Sus scrofa: one gene and its partners. The protein of the gene in region 4 purifies or fractionates together with the protein of the main gene of each other region. This does not show direct contact. Links are inferred from orthologs where the notes say so. Each region holds a gene or a part of one and is shown on either strand. Other genes may lie near its edges.

The links.
Region 1: the proteins of SYMPK (region 4) and CPSF4 purify together in Homo sapiens (affinity purification with mass spectrometry; 4 studies listed by BioGRID and IntAct, counting the BioPlex papers as one, with this or other methods). This does not show direct contact. The link is inferred for Sus scrofa from reciprocal best matches to the Homo sapiens genes SYMPK and CPSF4.
Region 2: the proteins of SYMPK (region 4) and CSTF2 purify together in Homo sapiens (affinity purification with mass spectrometry; 4 studies listed by BioGRID and IntAct, with this or other methods). This does not show direct contact. The link is inferred for Sus scrofa from reciprocal best matches to the Homo sapiens genes SYMPK and CSTF2.
Region 3: the proteins of SYMPK (region 4) and CPSF3 fractionate together in Homo sapiens (co-fractionation; 6 studies listed by BioGRID and IntAct, with this or other methods). This does not show direct contact. The link is inferred for Sus scrofa from reciprocal best matches to the Homo sapiens genes SYMPK and CPSF3.

The regions. Positions count from the first base shown.
Region 1 is NC_010445.4:6,373,194-6,377,193, forward strand, and holds the start of CPSF4 (cleavage and polyadenylation specificity factor subunit 4), read left to right. Parts: upstream 1-1,168; 5' UTR 1,169-1,321; coding exon 1,322-1,424; intron 1,425-4,000. UniProt on the Homo sapiens protein: Component of the cleavage and polyadenylation specificity factor (CPSF) complex that play a key role in pre-mRNA 3'-end formation, recognizing the AAUAAA signal sequence and interacting with poly(A) polymerase and other factors to bring about cleavage and poly(A) addition.
Region 2 is NC_010461.5:82,507,280-82,511,560, reverse strand, and holds the start of CSTF2 (cleavage stimulation factor subunit 2), read right to left. Parts: upstream 2,823-4,281; 5' UTR 2,723-2,822; coding exon 2,665-2,722; intron 1,585-2,664; coding exon 1,506-1,584; intron 1,023-1,505; coding exon 853-1,022; intron 72-852; coding exon 1-71. UniProt on the Homo sapiens protein: One of the multiple factors required for polyadenylation and 3'-end cleavage of mammalian pre-mRNAs. This subunit is directly involved in the binding to pre-mRNAs.
Region 3 is NC_010445.4:126,886,250-126,889,811, reverse strand, and holds part of CPSF3 (cleavage and polyadenylation specificity factor subunit 3), read left to right. Parts: intron 1-437; coding exon 438-613; intron 614-1,848; coding exon 1,849-2,007; intron 2,008-3,296; coding exon 3,297-3,443; intron 3,444-3,562. UniProt on the Homo sapiens protein: Component of the cleavage and polyadenylation specificity factor (CPSF) complex that plays a key role in pre-mRNA 3'-end formation, recognizing the AAUAAA signal sequence and interacting with poly(A) polymerase and other factors to bring about cleavage and poly(A) addition.
Region 4 is NC_010448.4:52,149,382-52,152,943, forward strand, and holds part of SYMPK (symplekin), read right to left. Parts: intron 2,737-3,562; coding exon 2,655-2,736; intron 2,484-2,654; coding exon 2,370-2,483; intron 1,392-2,369; coding exon 1,244-1,391; intron 292-1,243; coding exon 131-291; intron 1-130. UniProt on the Homo sapiens protein: Scaffold protein that functions as a component of a multimolecular complex involved in histone mRNA 3'-end processing. Specific component of the tight junction (TJ) plaque, but might not be an exclusively junctional component. May have a house-keeping rule.

The DNA of each region.
Region 1 (4,000 bases), on a different chromosome or scaffold from region 4:
CTCCACCAGAAATGTAATGTGAGCACGTACGTAACTTAAAATTTTCAAGTACCCACAGTAAAGAAAGTGTTTACATACATGAATTAAAACACAGAATTTTAATTACCGATATTGAAATAGGTGCCCCCATGTTTTTTAAACATGCTTACTCAAATAAATGCTTCTTTTTCAACCATTAAATAACAACGTCGGATCGTCATCTTAAAACAGTATAAAAGTTTGTAGCAGGAGTTTCTGTTGTGGCACAGAGGAAACGAATCAGACTGGGAACCATAAGGTTGCGGGTTCGATCCCTGGCCTCGCTCAATGGGTTGGGGACCCCGCGTTGCCGTGAGCTGTGGTGTAGGCGGGCAGCAACAGCTCCGATTAGACCCCTCGCCTGGGATCCTCCATAGGCCGCAGGTGAGGCCCTAAAAGGGCAAAGGACAAAAAAAAAAAAAAAAAAAGTAATTAAAAAAAAATTTTTTAATTAAAATAAAATAAAAAAAGTCTGTAGTAGCTGCAAAGACCCTGTCTCCAACCATCATTACACTCATCCCTACTTGAAACCACGACATCCTTTGGGCACAGCGAACGCCCCTCGGTCAGTCGTGAAAGGGGCAATTTCGTTCTCCCCACCTGCCCAGATTAATAAACCGTATTGCAGACACGGGGCCCCGCCGCTCCCCAGACGCCCGGAGACCCTCAAGCTGACCCCTCTCCCAGGCTCCCCTCGATCCTCTGTTTCCTCAGCCGACCCAACGGCTCCGACCCTGGCTGCGACCCTCGCTGACCCTCTGGCCCGTCCCGACCCGGGGCCCGGGCTCCTGTGAGAGTCAAACAGGCACTCGCCCCAGGACTGCGGCCCAGTGAACGCGGCCCACCTCGGTCTCCGCCCGCGCCCCCTGCCCCGCGCCCGTCCCGCGTCACCCCTAGCGCCATCCCAGCCGCGCCTCGAACCCCGGCTCACCGTCCCCACCGCCTTCCCAGAGGAGCGCCTCGGCCGACCTCGCGCAGGCGCAGTCTCCGTCGCGAACTCCTGGCGCGCTAGGTTTCTTGGTCGCCGGCAGCGGCGAGGAGAGGTGAGAGTTCGGCGAGCGGCTAGCCGGGCCTAGCAGAGCCGCCTGTACTCTGCGCTTGATTGGCCCGGTCTGGAGCGAAAGGGCTGGCGCGGGCTCTGGGTGCTCCCGGCATCCCTTGGGCGGCGGCGGCGGTGGCGCCGGTGTTGGCGGCAGCGGCGAGGCGGCGGAGGACAGTGTGCGGCGGGTCTGCGGCGGGTAGAGGTGTGAGGGAGACGAGGAACCTGAGCGGGAGCCGGGCCGGTGTGGCCGCCGCCGCCGCCATGCAGGAAATCATCGCCAGCGTGGACCATATCAAGTTCGACTTGGAGATCGCAGTGGAGCAGCAGCTCGGAGCGCAGCCGCTGCCCTTCCCCGGCATGGACAGTGAGCGCAGGGTCCGGGAGGAGGGCGAGGGCGCGATGGACTTGGCTCCGGGACCCCCCCCCCACCCCCGCCGCTGTAGTTCCAGGACGCCCTGCCCCTCAGTTCGGGAGCTCCTCCCCCTCGGTCCTGGGACTGCTTTCCCCAAATCCTGGGACCCCCACCCCACCTTCTCCCGTCATTTGGACTAAGGAGCCCCTCTTCCCCGATCTTCGACCCCTGAGAGCTAGCCTAAGGCTAGGGCAGGACCACGTCCCGCCCATCAAATAATTCTTGAATGAAAGCGGGTATCGTGTATTGGAAATACTGCCCCCACTCGAACACGCTCCCCAACTACAGAAAAGTACCAAGATATCCCCTTTCCCCATTTCCAGCCCCCCACTTTGGGCGGTCTCTTCTTGCTTTCATCAAAACCGGGCCGTTGGGAGAGTCTTGCAGAGGGAAGGACCCACCCCTTACTCTGTAGGAGACCCCCAATGAGGCGCTCAAGCTCCGTTTTTCTCCTAGGACTCGCGCTCCTGGGAGCCCATTCCTCACTGTTTCTCTGGACCCCACCTCTGGGTCATTCCTCACACCCAGGCAGCCGCCCAAGTGTCCTTCACTCTCCCTCTTCACGTGGCGGCAGTTATCTTTTCCTCTTTCTTTCTCAGAGATACTTGAAATTTAATGCTGTAAGTTAAAGCTCAGAGGGCTCTTAGGGGTCAGTCATTGAGTTCAAGCCACAGATGAAGCACCTGAGCCCTGGGCTGGGGAAGGGACTGGCCAAAGACTGCTCAGCGCCTGATGGAGCCAGATGAGCTCGCCAGGCTTCTTGACCCTTCTATCTGTGGCTCCCTGTGCCGTCCCCCTAACTGCCAGAGGACATGGACCACAGTGCCACATTCTCCTACCTGTCCCTGGACTAGCGGAGCCTCCCTGCGGCCTCATTCCCCTCAAGTGGCCACACTTCTCATGCACGTGTGACCTCTGAGTTGTCCCTCTTACGCTGACGTTTCTGTATAAGATAATGCATGTACACAAGAGACGTACCTTTAGCAGCAGTTACTTTCTATACACATACAAACGCTGTCTCCACTGCATACGGCTTACAAGCCGCTGCCCAGACCCTTAAACCGGTCAGTGCAGGTGATCACTTCATGCTTATACACAGACATCTACCCTCACACCCGTGGCCTCTTCCTCTGCTGATGGCACTAGCTCGAGACCAAGGAACCATCCATACTGGGCAGCTCTTTCTCCCTCCGCCCTCCAGCCTGGAACCACAGATACCTGAGCCCGGGAGGGCAGGTGCAGCGGTGAGGGGCCCTCAGATCTGTGCTTGGAGAGGGTCCAGGACCTGCCTAGCCACAGGTACTGCCCCAGCCCAGGGCCTCAGCACTCACCGCCTGCCCGAGATCACGGTCAGTGTGTCAGAGCCCAGGGAGGCCACAGCCCTTCCTCCCCCTCGTCCTTGCACTTGATTTCTGTCTTAATACAAGAAGGATCTATGGGTTCTGTCCTGAAGGCACATTTCTTTATCATGTCCGCCTCAGACCCCGTCCCCAGCACTGTGGACTTTGGCATTTAAGGAATAAAACAACCTTAAACCTCTGAAAAGAACGAAGGCTCAAAGTACTCTTAAATGATAACTTTTTTTTTTTTTCTTTTCTTTTTTCTTTTTAGGGCTGCACCCGAGGCATATGGAGATTCCCAGGCTAGGGTTTGAATCATAGCTATAGCTGCTGTCCTGTGCCACAGCCACGGCAATGCCAGATCCTTGACCCACTGGGGGAGGCCAGGGATTGAACCAGCAGCCTCATGGTTCCTAGTCAGATTCATTTCCGCTGAGCCACGAGGGGAACTCCTTAAAAGATTTTTTAATGTAAGACTTCTCGGACTTTTCTGAAATGCACACCTCTGACGCCCACTTCTGTAACCTTAAATCTGTCCTAGCAAAATAGACCTGCTTCTAAGAAGCCAATAGAGCTCTTGAAAGTTTGCAGGGGAAGACACGTAAGAGATGCTCGTGGTGGGTTTTGAGCATTTCTAAAATGCCCACTGATAGAGAAAACTGAAGCCACAGATGCTTTCTCCTGGTGGCCATGGCGGGTGAATTCCTGGGCTCCTTATTACAGCCCTGCACCCCACTGACTTCTCTGTGCTTGGCCTTCCTTCTCCTGCTCCCCTCCCGTGAACCAGCTGTATCTGTGGAACATTGAATTGTGTGTTGCTGCCGCTTATTAAGAGCAGTCACGCTCCTGCGTCATCAGTTATGCTCTTCCCTCCAGGAGGGTCTCTGAGCGCCCACCTCTTCCTCCTCGGGGTCCCCGTTTGCTTGTTTGTGCTTCCTGTGGGATCATTCCCTCCCCCTGCCTCAGGTTCAAGTGCCCCTGAATTCACCCTCTGCACAGTCTGAGCAGGGAGAAATTAATTTCTGTCACTTGGGCTCCATCCTTCCTGCGCCCAACCACTCCTAACTCCTTGAAAGCATCTGGCTTGTAGGAGGTTCTCCGAAAGCCCTGAGTAATGACTGGTCTCAGCATATATGCCTCATTCTGCCAGGAATGGCTGAGAGAAAGAGCATTTTCCTTGCTCGAGCT
Region 2 (4,281 bases), on a different chromosome or scaffold from region 4:
TTCAGGGGCATCCTCGGGACTGATGGTCTCTCCATAAGGTGACTCAATGACAGGGGCACCAGTGCCAAGACCTGATTGGGAAGAAAGTACAAGAAAGTTAAGGAGGCAGTATAAAGAGCTAAACGATTTCAAGTATCTACTCTTTACAGAGTTGCTGTAAGACCCTGTTGATAACTTTAAATTTTCTGGAGCTGAGAAATAAGTGATTTTCAAGTCTCATATTTCTGTGGAGGAAAGTGACAGAGTGTATCTTCTGCTCTCAGAGGAAAGCTGGCACCAGGGTCACAGAAGTGAACAATATTAACTTAAATTAGGGGCTAGGCATATCCATTTCCTTTTACAAATCATTTCATAAGCAAAATGTTTCTTTTTTTTTTTTTTACAATTTTTTTTAATTGTTATTTCCCCAATACAATTTTTTTTTTCTACTGTGACCCAGTTAAAAGGGTTTAATTCTAATTTCAAAATGGAATTTCTGGATTCTGTTACTTCATGAAAAAAAAAGCCACGAGAATGCCTTGGTATCCTTACCAGTTATAGATCTGGTAACATAATTATAGGAGTGGCGGACACTAATGACAGACATAGTTAGCACTACTAACGGCTTCCTGAGCCTGTAATTCATCTTCAGCTGGAAATCAATTCCTTGGTAACGGAAGGTCTTAAGTCAACTTTACTTATTTCTCAAAGGTGTACACTGCCCTAATGCAGGCAGCTCTCAGATGGCTCAAATAAAGATGTTGTGTAGCTGAAAACCATTTCAGCAGATGCTAAAACATATGATTATGTGGCAAATCTCCATTGTTACATCTTTACTAACTCATGTTGCATACAGCTTGGGTTTTTACTCACTCTTCAGCTCCTCTTTGTTCTTTTCGCTGGCAGCATTGTCCACTCGAAGTGCTCTCCCACTGAATTCACGCCCATTTAGGTTTCGCATGGCACTAAGTGCTGTCTCCTGGTCTTGGTATTCACAGAAGCCATAACCCTTTGGTTTTCCTGTCTCCCTATCATATACCAACCTGGAGAGCAGAACCAAGTATCAGGCATGAATGTTATATACATGCAGGTTTTCCACTAACATTGCTGTGTTCTAATGTGGTTTACTTTAAGACAACCTTACTGCTCCGTGTCACTGAAATATTTTTTACACATCTTTCTAAATGGGAAAAAAAGGTAACTTTTAGGAGTTATCTTGTGGCACAGTGGGTTAAGGATCCAATGTTGTCACTGCAGCAGTTTGGCTCACTGCTGTGGTGCAGATTGGATCCCTGGCCTGGGAACTTCCATATGCCAGGGGTGGGCCAAAAAAAAATGTATCTTTTAGCAAAAATGAATGTGAATTATATGGTGTGTGAATTACATCTCAATAAAGCTGTTACAAACAAAAAAGAATTTTTTTGTGCATGTGAAAAGTCACCAATAAAAACTTTGCCATTATTACTAGGGGCCAATTTGTGGTGATTTTTAAGAAATTTCCACCAAGGAGTAAAAGGGGATCTCACCTGAAACTAACAACAGGTCCAACCTCAGAAAAGATGTCCTTTAATTGCTCTTCAGTAGCCTCATAAGGAATGTTCCCCACTAAGGAAGGAAATAGATAATATATTAAAATTCTGAGTTTGTAATCTAGGTCTTTAGTAAGAAAACATTTACATATATCACTGAAAATGTAACAACTGGTTCAAACACAACGTTCCTCCAATCCCGATTCCATTGTACTCTCTTAGACAAGAATTCAATGGTGTCTACTGACTTTAATTACAAGAGGAATAAACCATTGAGACGAAACACAAAAGGTGTATGCCCTAAGTATTAGTTCTTAGACTGAACTGACAGGTGTTACATTTTTCTTAAGTATGGTGAAAATAAATATTTAGGCATTGGTATTTACCTGAAAGTCTGCAAGTCATAAATAACTGCTAAAAATGTCAATATTATAATATATGAAGCCGGCTCCTATGCCAGTATTTCCACATATACACACACTCAAAGGAGAATGACCACGAATGTCGTAGAGGATGTTTAAAAGTTATTCTGAACTATTTTGTCATGTCCCTCCCAAAAGGTGCTTTAAAATCGCCAGATACTTTTAAAAATCAACTTATTTCGGCCTGAAAGATTGCTCAGAATAGACTCGACCCTCTTTAAAATTTCTCTGAATAGGTCTTAATCATTCATTCATTCATTTATTTACAGTTCACCTTAAGACGCCGGGTGGCCACTACCACTAACGACGAACTAAAATGTGAAAAGCAGAGGATGAAAGCCCTTATGAGAGGGCGGGAAGTGGACAGAAAGATCTATATCCTCAGCATATAAACTGTATTCTGGGATAGGGGGTGAGTAGTACGGGGCAGTTGCCATGAGCCCTCGCTTCTATATAATAATTGAGGCTCACGAAAGGAAAACGCATAGAAGCTGAACGCTAGTTTAACTTCCTCGGCCACATCTTGCAAAGGCTTTGAGGCCTCGGGGGAAGGGGAGCATCACTTTGCCCACGAGCCCACCAAGCTGGCCGCCCGACAGGACAGGCAGGTCGAGCGCAAGCCCGACCCATCACCGGCTCCTGCAGCGATTCATGAGATGCAGGACGGCATTCCTCGGCGTTCCCTGTCTTTTTCTCTCCCTCCCGGACGCTTGGATCCACCGAATTCCTCTCACCGAACACCGAACGTAGCGAACGGTCCACCGCAGGGTCTCTCACAGTCAAACCCGCCATCGCTCTCTTCCGGGGGCTTCCGGTGCGCCAGAGCACACTTCCGTACGGCGCATGAGCCCAGCGCCGAACACGCTTCTGTACGGCGCGTGAGCCGGACGCTTCTGAGCCGGCCGGACGCAGGGCCCCTCCCCTGGCGTCATTTCGTCATAGCAGGCGCGCGTCACGTCCAGGAGAGCGCTAACTCCCTCCCGGCTGGGCTCCAGCCTGAGAAAAACTACGTTCCGTGTTGGAGCTCGGCTAATTTGAAGGCTTTTAGTCTGCATAATTCTTTATTGTTCATTATTTTCTTAAGCTAACGCAAGTAATTGTCGACCACAATAACGATGGCGGCGGCGGCGGCTTTACCATGGTAACCGGAAAGTCGATAAACGCTGCGTCCCTTTCCTTTTAGTTCCGCCCTGTTAGGGGAGGGGAAATGCTTGGCCCCGCCCCAGCGGGGTGCATTTTTATCCTTTCTCAAAAGCTCTGTACCCACTGAGGGAGATGAGGAAACAGAGTTACGGCACCCTAGAGAATGAGGGGCACCCAATGCCAAAGCGCCAACATACTGAGAAGATGGGGAGGTAAACACAGAACAGACCCCGTCTGCTCTCTTAGCCTGTGGACTTCACGTGCTTGATGGTGAGGGGGCGAGGCCGTGGAGGATGTTGGCTGGCAGGGCATCAGAAAACATTAGAACAGGAAATGTAATTGGCTAGTAGTACGCAATTAGCAACTAAGTCATGATTTGAGCTCAGCTTGCTTTCGCTCCAGAGGCTGAATGCTTAAGTGCCCACCAGTATAACTCAGAGAATTTAACGACGTAACTCTTTTCTTTCTTTGCCATTTTTGGTTAGAGCTTAAGATTTGGTAATAGTGGATTGATGGCCCAGAATAATGAACCGCTGAAGAATAGGTTGAGGCACTTAGCCAGGGCATGTTCTGCCGTCAGCCATTTGTGGAGAATGGACTGTTGATTCTTTCACTTCATTTAACCACCCCTACTGTTTATAAAAGAAGAGGTATGTAAGGGCTATTTCCTAAGCTCGTGGTGTTTTATAATTGGGTTTCAGTTATAGGCCATGTGCTTGTGACCCCATGCCTCATTGCTATTGTCTATGAGGGTCTTCCCTTCATTGCCATACTCCCAGAGTGACACATTTCTTTTGCCTCCAAGTTGTAGCAGAATGAGGACAGGAGGTATTGACTGTTACTGTTGTAGGTATTATGACTGAACCTCAATTAGAACAATGAAGTAGGTGCTGTATGAAGAGGTAGGGGAAAAACTAGGAAAGATGCATTTCTACATAAATGGGACTATTGTTTTTTGGGGCTTTGAGTAGAAGAGAAAGAGTATGTAGTGGAGAATCAAATAATTGGGAAACCACAGGCAAGATTTGTGGCACATTGACAGAAAAAGTTTTGTGGAGAAGTCCTGAGTTCTTATCCAATTTTGTCGGTGACACTAAGAATATTAGACAATGTAGGAGGTAAAGCACACAGAGACATTCAAGACTGTGAATGCTCTGTGAGGACATAGAGACTTGAGTTCTTTCTCCTGGCCATAGAAGATCAAGCTT
Region 3 (3,562 bases), on a different chromosome or scaffold from region 4:
TCTTATTTTCTTTCATTGGCCACGCCTGAAGAATATGGGAGTCCTGGGCCAGGGATCGAATATGAGCTGCGGCTCCAACCTCCCCCACAGCTGCAGCAACGCTGGGTCTTTAACCCACTGTGCCGGACCAGAGGTCAAACCTGCGTCTCAGCAGCCCTGAGCCACTGCAGAGACCTCACCAGCTCCTTAACCCGCTGCACCACAGCAGGAGCTCGAGAGCACGATGTTTCGGTCATGCATTAACACTTGGAAACGAGTTTGGGTTTTACAAGGTCAAGTTAGGAAGAGGCTAGTTTTTCTTAGCCTCTTTAAAATGCAGTTATGTGCTTTAATTGCTTTCTTCTCTGAATCTTTAACAGTTAATTATATGTAGCACTTATTATTTGAACCATTGACCCCACACAACAAAATATTTGTTTCTTGTCACATCTCTCCAGATGAGTACTGGCAGAATCACCCAGAACTCCACGACATTCCAATATACTACGCCTCCTCTCTGGCCAAGAAGTGTATGGCGGTGTACCAGACGTATGTCAACGCCATGAACGACAAAATCCGCAAGCAGATCAACATCAACAACCCCTTTGTTTTCAAGCACATTAGTAACCTTAAGGTGAGCGCTTGTGAAGAAAGAGGGAGGGCGGGCAAAACACAGGAGTCCCAGGAGTGGGGGCGACGCTGTGTCTGAATCCCTGCTGGAGTCTGGCCTACCTGAAGCACGCTTCACTCTTCTGAAGGAAGTCAGCTATTCCGCCACTGGCATTCTTTTTATTTCCTTTTTAGGGCCACGCCCACGGCACGTGGACGTTCCCAGGCTAGGGGTCGAATCGGAACTGCAGCCGCCAGCCTACACCAGAGCCACAGCAACACCCGATCTGCACCCTGCGTCTGCAACCTACACCACAGCTCATGGCAACGCCGGATCCGTAATTCACTGAGCGAGGCCAGGCATCGAACTCTCATCCTCATGGGTACTAGTCAGGTTCATTACCGCTGAGCCACAGTGGGAATTCCTGGCATTCTCTTTTGCTTAAACCAGTGTTCCCACTTGTTCCATTTCTCTGTAAGTTCTCCAGTTTACTGTTGCTAAATAATAGAATTTTCTGCCATAGAAGTGAAAAGTCCCGATGAGAAAACTGTCTGGTATGCCATATTTTCCTCTTCTTACTCAAAGCTAATCATCTTTCCGGTTAGCACTACAAATTCTATACATGCAGATTTTCATGTTTACTTCTCTAGCGCATTCAGTAAAATCTGATTTTCTTTAATTAAAAAAAATGTCATTCAAAGTAATGCTCTAATCATAATAAAATGATACTCCACATAATTCAAGTTATACGTGGTTTTCTGGCTATACATAGGCTATTTGTAAAGTCTTGCTTTTTAAGTTAATTGCCTGGGAACTAGAGAGCCAGGTTTTCCCTGGAAGCAGTGATAAACTTTGAGGGTAGCTCAAAACATTGGGGAAGTAAGCGAAGCCGTGGGAATCTCGAGGAAGTCTTTCAGAGTCTGTCTTAGGAGGACAGAAGCCCATCTGACTGGTCCTTTAACCGCCGGCTTGCCCGCCTGCAGGCACTGAAAATGGGGCTCGTGGTCCCTTAGCTGTCGTGGAAGGTTTGGAAGGTCAGTGTGAACAGACTGCTTTGCATCATTTTGTCTTCCGTTCACTCCCAGCCTCAACCGTTCCGGGACTTGGAAACGGGACTTAAGGTGTTCGCTAGTCTTGTCAGGGCCCTTCCAGTCGAGAGGTTCATCTTTTGGCTCACTTTCTGCTCTTCTTTGTAAGGAAGAATGCTTTTGCCCGAGCCTGGCAGTTCGCATGCTTTACCATTCCCTCTCCTCTCTCAGAGCATGGATCATTTCGATGACATTGGCCCCAGCGTCGTAATGGCCTCCCCAGGCATGATGCAGAGCGGCTTATCCAGAGAGCTCTTCGAAAGCTGGTGCACCGATAAGAGGAATGGCGTCATTATAGCCGGATACTGTGTGGAGGGGACGCTCGCCAAGGTCAGTCAGAGCCCTGAAGCGTCCTGTCATTCCGCATCGAGGCCGCGGAGGTGGCAGCCTCCCCCCAGGTTTTCCAGGGAAGCAGTTCTTTGAATAATACAGGTCTGGGGAGTTCCCTGGCGGCACAGTGGGTTAAGGTTCCGGCATTGTCACTGCTGCGGCTCTGGTTGCAGCTGTGGTAAAGTGTGAGTCCCTGGCCCGGGAACTTCTGCCTGTGTTCTCTTGAAAAGCTGGGGAATGCGTTTTGAGTTGATCGCCCGTCTTCCTGTTGATACAAAATGATCGATATTGACCCCGAGGGATGTGGACATTGATGTGCAAAACTTCCACACTTGAGAGGCAATGTCTGAACCTTCACACGCATCACATTCTCCAGCAACAACTTCTGCTTTATCTATTTTTGCCTTTTGTCTTTTTAGGACCACACGTGCAGCATATGGAGGTTCCCAGGCTAGGGGTCTAATTGGAGCTGGAGCACAGCCACAGCAATGCCAGATCCCTAACCCACTGAGCAAGGCCAGGGATCGAACCCGCAACCTCATGATTCCTAGTCGGATTTGTTTGCACTGCGCCACGATGGGAACTCCTGTTTTATTTTTTAAATACATTGTGATTCTCTGCTTTGATCATTTTTATTACCTTAACCTTATTCTGTAAGTTGTTTAGGCAGTGTTGGCTATGAATTTAAAGTCCGTTTCCACAACAGAAATACACTTGTCCTTCGTGGGATCGTCATACTTGGAAAATGACGTTTTTTTTTAGGGCCACACCCACGACATATGGAAGTTCCCAGGGTAGGGGTCAAACCAGAGCTGCAGCTGCCAGCCCCCACACACCACAGCCGCAGCAATGCTGGATCCGAGCCACATCTTTGACCTATGCCACCACTTGAGGCAATGCCAGATCCTTAACCCACTGAATGAAGTCAGGGTCAAACCTGCATCCTCACGGATACTAGTCAAGCTCTTAACCCACTGAGCCACGCCACCTCCTGGAAAGTGACTTTTTAGAGCAGATCGTTGAGGATATAAGGGTATTTTTCTAGCCACGAGAGTTGAAATTTTCACTTCTAGGACTCCAAATACTTTGAATTTTTGTTCGTCTGCTTCCTTTCCTCAGGCAGTGTTTGCTTGATGGATATTTACTAGGTCAGTCGCGTCAGAGTGATTTTTGCGCTGCGGGTCCTAGGTTAGCCTAAGAGTTTAGTGTGTGAGAAAGTAGAAAATGTACCTTTTCTTCCTTAATTGGCTAGTTTGTCTTATTTTGTTTACTTTCTTTGTTTTTAACAGCATATCATGTCTGAACCGGAAGAAATCACTACCATGTCTGGACAGAAGCTGCCGCTGAAGATGTCTGTCGATTACATCTCTTTCTCTGCTCACACGGACTACCAGCAAACCAGTGAATTCATTCGTGCTTTGAAACCGCCTCACGTGGTTAGTCTGTGCGTTTGGTTTTCGGCGCTGGTTGGGGGGAAGGCCTCCAAGAGAGCAGACACGGCCTTCCCATGCGGCAGCCCTGTCGGCAGGGCCTCCACCTGCGCCGGAACCAGCCT
Region 4 (3,562 bases):
GCTGCTGGGCCTGGGGTGACAACCCTTAGAGCTTAGCAGACACCGAGGAGGAGCTATCGGGGGAAGGGCTGATTTGGGGGTTTAGCCCTGCCCATGCGTGGGCAGAGCCTGGTGGGCTCAGGGGCCTCACCGGCTGTTCGATGACCCTTAGCACAGTCCTCTTGATGTCGGCGATGGCCTCCGTGTATACGGCTGCCAGCTCGTGGATGAGCTTGTGGTTCTGAGGCAGGAGAGCCAGGTAGAGGTACAAACACTGCTTTACTGTCTCCTCGGTCCAGGGCGCTGCCACCTCTGGTAAGGCAGGAGGTGAAGATCAGGTGAGGCCTGCTCCCCTCCCACCCTCAGGGTCTGGTCCTTCTTGGGAGGCAGGCACAGGAGGGAGCTGAGCTGGGAAGCAAAAGTCCCCAGGGCAGGAAGCCTGTCCTCTAGGAGGTGGGGGTGGAAGCGGGACGGCTCCCCTTCCGCAAGTCTCGGCACTCAGTGCCCACCTTGTCTCCTCTGACCACCAGTCCACGAGGCAGCCAGAGAGATCTTCCTAAGTGCAGTTCTGACCCTGTCCCTCTCCTGTTCAGTGCTCCCACAACTGTCCTGTGCTCTCAGGACAAGCCCCCAGATCCTCGCCCTGCTCTACCTGACAGGTCCTGGTCAGGGCAGCCCTGCCTCTGGGGCCCTGCACTCTGGTCACACCCCACTTCAGACAGACCCCAAGGCCTCCACTTTGGAGCCTCTACACGTGCTGCTGTCACCAAGAACACTGCCGCCCAACTCCTCTTGTGGTGCCTCCTCATCCTCTGGGTCTCACACCCTCTGGGTTCCCAACACTCAGGCTGCTCCAGGGCTCCTGTGCTCCTAGAAGGCCCCGTGCTTCCTGCCACAGCCTCCAATTTATGGTCCATCCTCTTGGGGCCAGAGTCTCCCCATCTGGCACACGGAGGACCCAGAGCTCTGCTGAGTGAGTGGGCCTGATATGATCCTGCCTGGAGCTGCATCACTGGCAAGCTGTCCTTGTCCTCGGCTTTCACCCAGCTGTCCCCACACCTCCAGGACCCTCTCCCTGACCCATCAGGCTGGGCCAGGCACCCCCTCTGGGCTCCCACAGACCCCTGATTTTGCCACCCAAAGCCTGCTTGTTTCGGTTACTGCTGTCTAGCTGTCTTCTCTAGCAGGCTCTGACCCCAGGGCCCAGTCCAGAGCCTGGGACGCAGCAGGTGCTCAACACACCCCTGAAGAACCTGTACCAAACCTGTGTCTTTGTCGGCTCCAAACAGCACAGATGGTGGGTTGGGGTGGACCAAGAGCTGCAGGTAGTTGAGGGCAAACTTCTCCACATACTCTCGCAGCTGCTCCTTCTCGTACATGCGCTTGATGAACAGCAAGGCTTGGGAACGTACCTGAGGAGAGAGGAGGGCAAGGTGGTGGAGGGGGCAACAGCTGTCCTGAGCTTGGCAGCCAGTGTGAAAACAAGCCCAAGTCTGAGGAAGGCCTGGCCTAGCTGAGTTACCTGTGCCCAAGACTGGCTTGGGAGGGAGGTTTCCTGGCCCAGCTGAGGGCCCTGCATCACCTCGCCATCTACTTGCCTGGCTCCATTCTTATCACGTCTGGCCCTGCTTGCCCTGCTCCAACCAGGAGCTTTCCTCAGTTCCTCACAAGTGGCGGCCTTCTCCCTGGCACTGAGACTTGGCACACAAAGTTCCCACTGCCTGGACTGCCTGTCGCTGGCTATATCCTGCTGGGAGCCAAGAGGACAGAGCCTGGTCTGGGGCATTGCTTTGTTCCCAGCAGCACCCCAGGGCCGAGCCAGAGTGTGCAGTCAGGGTCTGCTGAATGAACGGACACAAGACACCAGAAAGGAGCGGGTTGAAGGCAGGAGCAGGGATGGTCGCGGGCCCTCTCCATCACACCGAGGCACATCTGACCAGGGCGCAGCCATCTACTCCTACTGCAGGTCTTGGCTCACACGTCCCGACTCCGGGAGGCTTCCTTAAACCACCCCCTCCCCAACCCCCTCGCCAGGGCTTTGCAGTCACACACTACTCCACTCCTGGCACTGAACACATGGTGTCTGCTGGTAGGTCACACTGGCTCCTCCCAGGTCCCAGCACAGTGGGGCCTTAAGAGGGGCGTACAACACAGGCAGAATAAGAGCGAGAACGGGCCTGCCCTGCTTGGGGTGTGAGTATATATATGTGTGTACCTTCTAAGCAGCTTCACGCCATCATAAATGGAAAAACCACCACCACCACCAAAAGACTGTTGTAAGATGCACATTAAGCCCAGAAAGTTTCAGGGGAGTGTGGAAAAGGCTGGGCTGGTTACTCGGGACAGAGGAAGGACTGAGTGGAGCACAGCACAGGGCGGTGGGGGATCACCTTGTCCTTCTCATGCGAGCTGAGGTCTAGCAGGACGTGCAGGTACTGGAACTGACGGGATGGGCGCTTGAAGATCAGGTCTCGAAGAGTGGACATGCCCAGGTAGGTGCGGCTCTGCGGCAGGAAGGAGGGGAACCAGAGCTCAAGGCCCCTGCAGGGCACCACTGGGAGGTCTCCCCTGCCTCAGCCAGACCTGGGACTGGACCAGAGCATCCGGTCCCTCCCAGAACCCCCTGCCTGTACCATGATGCTCGGAGTGGCGGGAGATCTGCCGCCTGTCCTCACCTCATCCTCACAGTACTTGCGAATCACCTCCAGGGCACTCTCCGTGATGAGTGGCGCCTCCAGCACGACCTTGGTGAAGATCCTGCCAGAGAGGGGGGGTAGGGAACGGCTGGCTTCCCTATCCTGCTGATCATAGCTCAGAACTGAAAGTGCCCCCCTCCAACAGCTTGCTCAACCCCCTGGATACAGAGCTCTGGAAGCAACAGAGCAGGGTTCAGACACTGCCAGGTGGGTGTCCTGGGCAGAGACGACCTCTTGGAAACTCAGTTGCTCCCATTTTTCAAATGGAGATTCCTAGCTTGTTTAATATAGCAATGGGAGGGGATGACGGGAGGCTGTTCTTTGAGATGTGGTGACCAGAAAAGGCTGCTTGGAGATAACAGTTGTCAATGCTGGCAAAGGAGAAAGAGCCAGCCACGGAAGAAGTAGGGGGAGAGCATTCCAGGTAGAGCAGAGTGAGTCTATCAGAGGAACAGGAGACTGAAGGCCAGCGAGCTAAAGTTCGGGGGCAGTGAAATGCAGGGAGGCAAAAAAGAGGCTGAAGAGGTTGGCGTGGACTGGATTATACACGGTCTCATAGGACACAGTAAGGAGGTGCATTTTAGCTGAGGACAATGGAAGGTTTTTAGTGGGGAAATAACAAGACACGGTTTACATTTATAAAGTGTCACCTGAGCTGCTATGTGGAGAATGAATAAGCTGGAAATCCAGGACACGGAGGAAGCTACAGAACCGATGTGGGCAAGAGGTGGGGATGGTGAGAAGTCAACCTCGGGAACCAGCCTCCAAAGCAGACGCTGTTACTCGTCATGTATTATATGAGAAAATGGAGGCTCAGAGGGTAAGTGACACAGGTCAGAGAGCAAGCAGCAGAGCCAGAGAACAAGCCCGGGGCACAGGGCTCCAAG